Linked DNA regions of Oryctolagus cuniculus. The protein of the gene in region 1 interacts with the protein of each later gene in a biochemical or structural test. Links are inferred from orthologs where the notes say so. Each region holds a gene or a part of one and is shown on either strand. Other genes may lie near its edges.

The links.
Region 2: the proteins of STX4 (region 1) and SNAP25 form a complex in vitro, tested with the Homo sapiens proteins (3 studies listed by BioGRID). The link is inferred for Oryctolagus cuniculus from reciprocal best matches to the Homo sapiens genes STX4 and SNAP25.

Annotation. Positions count from the first base shown.
Region 1 is NC_091450.1:6,132,156-6,136,640, reverse strand, and holds the start of STX4 (syntaxin-4), read left to right. Parts: upstream 1-1,451; 5' UTR 1,452-2,314; coding exon 2,315-2,344; intron 2,345-2,515; coding exon 2,516-2,617; intron 2,618-2,726; coding exon 2,727-2,826; intron 2,827-2,964; coding exon 2,965-3,039; intron 3,040-3,541; coding exon 3,542-3,612; intron 3,613-4,485. UniProt on the Homo sapiens protein: Plasma membrane t-SNARE that mediates docking of transport vesicles. Necessary for the translocation of SLC2A4 from intracellular vesicles to the plasma membrane.
Region 2 is NC_091442.1:35,230,440-35,234,352, reverse strand, and holds part of SNAP25 (synaptosomal-associated protein 25), read right to left. Parts: intron 1,635-3,913; coding exon 1,517-1,634; intron 1,351-1,516; coding exon of another isoform or gene 1,233-1,350; intron 1-1,232.

The DNA.
Region 1 (4,485 bases):
GAGAGAGGTCTTCCATCCGCTGGTTCACTCCCCAATTGGCTGCAACGGCTAGAGCTGCACCAATCCAAAGCCAGGAGCCAGGAGCTTCTTCTGGGTCTCCCACGCGGGTGCAGGGGCCCAAGGCCTTGGGCCATCTTCTATTGCTTTCCCAGGCCATAGCAGAGAGCTGGATAGAAAGTGGAGCAGCCAGGTCTTGAACTGGCACCCATATGGTACGGCAGCACTGCAGGCAGCTGCTTTACCCACACCCTTTCTAACCTCACCTGATAACGTGCAATGCTTATCTTACTCAAAGCAGAAATGAGCAGATCAAGTTATCAAATGGGGAAGCTGAGTCCCAGACGGGAGCAACGAACCATTCATTCAAGCCCATGTGCTGGTTTGGGAGCCAAAAGATGTCTGAAAGCTCTAGGACTGTACCACTCAGAGACAGGGTCTGGGGGGAGGCGGGGACAAGGGGGCATCAACTGCAGGATGCAAGAGCAGAGCGATGCTTCCCCCCACGGTCTCCAGTGGACCCCACTGGCAGGGTGTTCGCCCCCTCACCCCGGGAAAAGCCCCCCACCACTGCGTTTCTTCTGTGGGCTGCTCAGGGCAGCACCGCTCTCTCACACCCTCATTCCCAGCCCCAGGCCAGCAGGGGTCTCAAGGGGAGCGGAGCATCCACAGCCCCTCACACAGACTAAGACACCACTGAGCAGTTTTCCACCTCACTGTCGCTGAACTTGAGAGCACGGACTACCCATAGAGATCATCTCCCCATCCCCCTAGTGCCACCCAATGTACAGATGGAAGATCAAGGCCGGGAACCAAGAAGTGGCCTTGCAGTGGTGTGTCCGTAGCAACTCAGTTCCAGGAAGCAAGACTCCACTTGAACCTTCCGGGGGTCCGGTTACTCACTCCTGGCCGGGCTGAGACTCTCTGAACGACTTTGGGGAGTGCAAATGCCACTAGTACTAGTTAGACCTGCTCTATCTGCAGTCTGTAGGAATCCACCTGGCTCATGGAACGCACCCAGTAAACTATGTATAAATGAAGGAACGTTTGGCGGCTAGGGAAGTGGCAAGGGGAGCCAGCCTGCAGCTTAAGGACCAGGGGACAGGGGCTTTCTCTTCAGATCCACGAAAGCCTAAAACTCTACCATGTTCATGCAGGGCTCATTTTGCGGTAGGCACTGAACTAGGCGCTGGGGGGATCAATGAAAAACAAGGCGGTCTTGCCCTGCCTTAGGTGGGTAGGGGCTGGGGTATTTAAGGGCCGGAGAAGCAGGCGGCTGCACACACTACACTTTCCCCAGCCTGCGCCGCGCTGAGATGGTCTCAGTGCCCGGAAGGCGGTGAGCACAGCGGGGCTGCAGCGCCGGCCGCCCACCGGTCACAGGCTGCGTGCAGGAGAGATTTCTGCTCTGAGGTCACAACCCCACCCCCAGATTCCCTGCCGACAAAACCCTGCAATTCTCTGACGCTGAAGACTCGGCTCGGATTCTTTTTCTGATTTTTCAAGGTCCCACGATGCCGACAGCCCCGAATCCTAAGCCGTCAGTCTGCCCACGCCCCCTGGAGCCAAAAGCAAGAAAGGAGGAATCTGCAAGGGTCCCCGCCACCCCTCTGACTCAAAAGCTCTCTGGGGGTAGTCAGCGCCCCCGCTCCTCCTCGTGGGGTCTGTGGGGGCGTAACTCAGATGCCGGGGACGTCGTGAGGAGAAGGGTGTCCCAGAGTCGGCGTTGACAGAGCCGGGACACGTGACAGCCAAAGCCTCCCGTTCTGCGGTCTCCGCGGCCGGGCAGGTCACGTGACGTGGAGCAGGGCGGGGGGGAGCTCATGGGGTGATGTGAGATGCGGGTCTCTGCGATTACGTACTCGTGACGCATTGCCACCCGCTTTTGGCTGCCAGATTTCCGTTCAAAGAGGCGACGGTTCCGGACTAGGGGGCGGGTTCTCACGTCCAGGCACTTTCGCTTCCGTTCGGGGCAGAGCCGCTTCCGAGCCCCGCCTTTCCCTCGGGCGAGGAAGAGACGCCACCTCGTGCGCATGCCCGGAATTGTCTCAGAGGGGCGGGGCTGAGGCTCAGGGAGCAGGAGGGGGGCAAGAGAAGGGAATTCCAACCTGTGGAACTTTGGGGGTCCCGGAGGTCGGCTGCTTGCCCTTGACTGTGGCTTGTGCATGGGGCTGAGCCTCCGGCGGCTCGTGGGGGCGTTGGGGCCCGCGGGGCGAGGCAGGGGAGTGTCGCAGTGTAAGTGGGGTACGGGAATTCCAAACTTAGAACCTTGAGGCCCTCGGGGCTCCGGCGCCGGGAGGAGGGAGCTCGGGCCGCCATGCGAGACAGGACCCACGAGCTGAGGCAGGTGAGATGTCGGGACAGCAGGGTCGGGGATGGACGGGCGGGCTGGAATGCAGGACTCCCAGGGTAGGGAGGGGTGGTTGGGGGCCAGGAAGGAAAGTCCCGGAAGCCTGTGGATCGTTCGGGAGCGAGAGCCGCCGCGAGGAAGTGGTGCCAGTGACTGTGGCCCTGGCAGGGGGATGACAGCTCGGACGAGGAGGACAAGGAGCGGGTCGCGCTGGTGGTGCACCCGGGCACGGCCCGGCTGGGAAGCCCGGACGATGAGTTCTTCCAGAAGGTAAGGGGGCTGGGGTCTGCAGCCTGGACGTGCGAGGGGGCGGGCGGACTGAGGGCCAGCGCGGGCTGGAGTGCCCCAAATTTCAGCCCCTCTCGGTCGCCCTCCCCAGGTCCGGACAATTCGGCAGACTATCGTCAAGCTGGAGAATAAAGTCCGGGAGCTGGAGAAGCAGCAGGTCACCATCCTGGCCACGCCCCTTCCCGAGGAGAGTGAGTGAAACCCCGGGTCGCAGGACGCATGCGCTACCCGAGGGATTGTGGGGGTTGTAGTTCCACGCAGGTGGTGGCCCCGGGGTGGTTTGCTGAGGCAGGGGCTCCCCCAGGAAGTTGTGGTCTTTTCTTGTTCAGGCATGAAACAGGACCTGCAGAACCTGCGCGACGAGATCAAACAGTTGGGAAGGGAGATCCGCACGCAGCTCAAGGGTGAGCTCCTAGGAAGGCGGGCAGATTCTTCCTCTGATCCTACTGATCTGATCCTGGGATAAGTGGAGAGTGTGTGGCCCAGAGAGGCAAGTGATATATGTAGGTCACACAGCAGGCCTGTGTTTAAAAAAATATATATCTGTCTGTTGGCTTCCACGCCGTGTTCCACAGCCCGTGCCTTTATTTACGATGAAACTGTTGAGTCCTGTAGTTCTTGGTGCCTGTCCAGCGTGCGTTCTTTGCAAAGGCAGATGGGGTTCTGCATACCTGTGGGAGCTCACTGATAGAATTCAAAGAGAAATAAACTTTCTCCTGTCAGAGGCTTAGCATGGGTCATTTTACAATGAAGCTGCGTTTCCCTTACAAATCACGTGGAGACAGGTCCCTCCTCATTGTGTGGCTGGGGGAGGGACCCTGTTCTTGTGCCCTGGTCCCCGGTTTCCAGAAATCACGAGTCAACACGCCCCTACCTCCTCCCTTCCTGCCTTGTGTCTTCCCGCAGCCATCGAGCCCCAGAAGGAAGAAGCTGATGAGAATTATAACTCGGTCAACACAAGGATGAGAAAGACTCAGGTGGGTTTGCTTCTCCTAGAACCAGGGCATTTTCCTAAGTGTTTGATCAATCGCGAGACGACAGATGTCTGTTGAAGGCAAGGCCCTTGGAGACCACAGGCCCCAACCCTTCTTCAAAGGGGCAAACAGGCGTGGAAGAAGATTCTCACTCAAGGTCAAGAACGCAGGTGTCCTAATTCCCAGTCCCTTGCACCCCCTGCTTTCTTCTCCTCTCCATGAGGAGCTGCTGTCCCCCAGGGTGTGACCCAGCCTTGGCTGTTTCCTCGGGAACCAAGATGGGAGCTTGAGTTGAGTAGGGGACAAAAGACATTACTCATGCAGGCGTTGGTGGCTAATGGCTCTTCAGGGAAGGAGTTGGAGAAGTCACAAGTGCCTGGTCAGTTTCCTGCCTATGTGACTGGGCCATCCTCGGCCTGCAGGCAGAATTGGAGAAGTCAGGAATAGGAAGTGCCCTGGGCGGGGACATCTTAGTAAGGAGTTTTCAGGTCATCTGACTGCTGTCCCTGGCGCCCAGCGAGGAGTGGTTTGGGGGTTCTCGGAGGTCAGGGTTGTTGTAGGTTGGGCCCAGAGCTCAAAAAGACCCCAGATGGAAAATGAAGATGGTTGAGGGGCAGCTGTTGGCCAGGAGAGCAGGTGTGTCTCTCAGGGAGGGTCTTGGAGGAATGAGCAGAGTGGAGCCCTCAGGAGAAGGAATAAGGTGGGACAGAGGCTCCAGATGGGGCATTGAAGGGGTTGCCTGTGGTGGCCATGGGTGTGAGAGGCCCAGACAGACCTGTCGCATGTAGCGGCCTGGTGACGTCTGCGCATGCGTGCACAGCACGCTTGCCGTCGACGCAGCCGCGCTGGCTGGCATTTGGCTGGTCTGCCTTCAGT
Region 2 (3,913 bases), on another chromosome or scaffold:
TGGAAGAAAAATCATTTATAATCTCTGTTGTGATTTTTTTTCTTTGCTTTTGTTAAACGTGGAAGGAAGCAAAAGCGCAGTCAAGGATCCCATTAACTAGATTCCAGTTAGTCAGGATTTACTGTAGATCATTCTTTTAAAAACAAATTTTCTATTTATTTGCAAATTGAGCCCCTCCCCCTCCTAAACAGGAAGTGGGATATTTTAAATCAGCCTCAAAGTTTAAAGGATGCGAATGGTCATATAATCCACTAAAAAGGACATCAATTTCTATTCTATAAAGGTAGGACCAGGAGAGCTTTTAGGAAAAAAGGCTTCTTTTAGAAAGGGGAAGAGGGAGGGGTGAGGGAGATCGGGTAACAAATTTAATTTTCCAAATGCATGTTGGACAATCCACTCATGCATTTTGTTTTTTGCTACCAGTCATGTGAGACTATCTTCTAGAACCCTCAGTTTCAGGTTCCTTCTCTTGCAAACCTCTATAACCACATGTCACATTTCTGCTACATTCCAAAATAAGCGTTGCAGAACCTTGAGAACAGTTGAATGTTTTGTGATGTCGTGCATGCAAAATCTACACATTTCAACATTTCAGCCAGTGTACTGTTAGATCTTCCAAGGGGAAGAATTTCAGAGGGATGGGTCCAATTTGGGTAAAGCTTGAGCCCTTTTTGCCAAAGTGCTCATTGCCTCTGCATCGGGTGCAGTTGCAGCATCTCATGACTAAATTTGGCAATGGTGGGCAGGAGAAATAGGGGAATCTCTGTCATTCTCTTTTAAAGAATGCTGGCTTGGGCCAAATTATCTCTCTTTTCCTTCTGAAAAAATAAATCTTGATACATGTGTTTCTAATCTTCCAAACATACTCACTTACCAACTTTTCTAAATCCGCAGTTTTGGCTCTTGGGGTTGGGAAAAATATAGTTCCCTGGGTGCCTCTTTCTTGAGGCTTTTCTCTGTCTTAAGGTACACTTTCTGGAAAATGTTGAAACGTTAATCAATAAAAGTTGCTGACAGTGAAGCTTTCACTGTAGTATGCCTGATTTTTAATGCATCAACAGTAACTCCCACTAATATTATCTATGCTATGAGATGAATGCATTGGAGACGGTATTGATCTGTTCTGCATGCCACATGCTCATCCTGCCCATGAGCCTGGCAGGAATGAGCTTGTCAAGGCTTGGAGATGGGCCTTGGGAAACCAAAGCTTCAGGCAGGCAGGCAGCACCTACTTGTTACAGGGACACACACAAAGCCCGCAGAATTTTCCTAGGTCCGTCAAATTCTTTTCTGCTTCTTTCATGTCCTTATTGATTTGGTCCATCCCTTCCTCAATGCGTTCCAGTTGTTCTGATTAAACACAAGTATTTTATCCCCACAGAATGAAGCAGATGGAAAAGGACAAAGAAAAAAAAGACAAAACTTCAGACATTCACTTTGACATTAAAAAGAAAAAAAAAAGAAAGAAAGAAAGAAAACTGGACGCCACAGATTAGAGCTGGTACCCAGTACCTACTTGTTACAAGGACATATGAAAAGGCCACAGCATTTCCCTAAATCTTTTAAATTTTTCTCGGCCTCCTTCATGTCTTGGTTGATATGGTTCATGCCTTCTTCAACACGATCGAGTTGTTCTGGTTAGGACAAAGGGATGACAGTGTGGAATGAATTTTTTTGGGGTTTCCAACAGAACATGAGAAATGACTATGTGAAACGGAATTTGAGAGAGAAAGAGAGATTACAATGCATTGTTTCAAGAAGATGCATTGTGGTAGACTGCTGCCGCTCACCCTGAGCAGACATGAGTGGAAGGAAATGAACAAAATGATACTCAAAATAGTTTGAAATTCCAACATGATGAGATGAGTTTGAAGGTCTGTTTGATTCTGAGTGTCCAGGGACACAGCCCAGCATCATCACTTACTCAGACACCAGCGAAACCCCGGAGAAAGTAAAACAGGATGTTAGCTTATGTTTTAGGTACTCTGATTTAATGTCACTTGAGATAGCACCTGCTTCCTTTTAGATATGTGCACTTTTCTGTTTTTAAGCATCCTCAACAGATAAAGCTAGAAAATGGAATCCGTTTTCTTCCTTGAGGAAAACAGCAGCAGCAGCAGTAGCAGCAATAATTGGCAATGGGTATGGATCATGTTCTCCTATCAGTGGCTATCTGGTCATAGGTAGCCCACGGTCTATTCTTGGTTTGCATATTTACTTCATAGAAGCTGTGAAAAAAGTTACATCAGTACAGTGGCATTATAAGTACTGAAGCATTTCAGTTCCTCTCCCATCCTACAACTCACTTGTTATGAAAGCATTTCACTTCTCTGCTCTCTGATTTTCCAGTCTCTACAATGAGGGGGCATGCTAATTGCCAATCCCAGGCAAAGAGCAGGGAGGACGATGTCTCTTTGGGGATGGGAGGTGATGGATTGGAAAACAGAACAATTCTGTGTCATTACTGCTGGCAAAATTGACCTTAGTGTATCTAAGAAATAGATCGATAATCATAAGGACGAATCATACTTCTGGGTTGCTAGGGTTATATACTCCAACCTGATTAATTTTTCAAAAGCTGTGTCATCAAATTGAGATAACTACAAGTTCAATGAAGGAATTTTAAAAACAGCTTTTAAGACCATTAAAGGAGAGTAGCAATGAGATGTCTTGGTTGTCTAATTACAAAACCTAATTACATTTCCATTTTTCTTTTCATCTATATTGTCATGAATACATGTATGCTTATGCCTCCAAGAATAAAGGCATACCTAGAATTAAACTGATAAGCACATTTCCAGCCTAAGGGAACAAAAACATCACTTAAAAACAATTTCATGTTAAGCTGTACAGTAGCAATTGTCATTCCAAAAACTTAGATAGTAACCGAAGCTAAGGGGACCGTGCATTTAGAAAACAAGAGCCTGTTGTGTTATCTTTTGTGGGACTGAAGAATACAAATCAGCTTATCAGGAATCTGTTGCCTCTGCAATGCTTTTCAAATGACTGGGAAAACAAAATGTCAGTGTTTACTCAGTATTGGATACTTGGAGGAAATGAGAGTGTAGTGCTAGAGAATTTTTGCTGAATAAATAAAGCTCTTTTGGAAAACCCTCAAGTGCAGAGATAGATGGATAGATAGATATCACATATATAGAATTCTTTATGTTTTGGAAGTTTTTTTTCTTTTCTGAAGATGTCAATCTAGTTTGTTTTCAAGAATGCGATAAGTGAGTGTGCAAATAAGTGAGTGTGCAAATCAACACTTCAGGGGATTGTGGAAGGAAAAGGAGCTCAACATCAAAGAGCTCATCAAATGAAGAACCATCATACACACAGACAGAAATGGGGATGCCAGATCCCCATCAGATACTGGCAAACAGTTTCTAGGAGTGATGAGTTCAGACAGATTGGAGGAGGTGTCTGGGCTCAGGGAAAAAGAACACTAGATTGGACTCATGACAGCTGAAATGGGCACAGACCATGGTGTGCAGATACATATTCAAGTACTTGTCCTTCTTGAAGAGTTTCTCTCAAGTGAGAAAGCGAGTTAATATTTTTTCAATCAAAATATTAACTTCTGACAAGATTTCAGGGACCTCATCCACTGTGTGTGCAGGAATTAGGAGGAAACATATATGTAAATCACTCCATAAGTGTTAGACCTCTGAACTAGAGAAGTGAAACTGAAACTGAAAAAGAGCCAGGAGTTGAGTCCAGTGGTTAAGGTGCTGGTGAAGAAAACTAGCAACCCATATCAGAGAGCCTAGGTTTGATTCCTGGCTCCCACTCCTGACTGCTAGTACAGACCCTAAGAGGCGTTGGTGATGGCTGAAGTGACTGGGTTACTGTCACCTATATGAGACCTTGAGTTCCTGGCTCCTGGCTTTGGTCCCAACCTGGAGCTACTGCA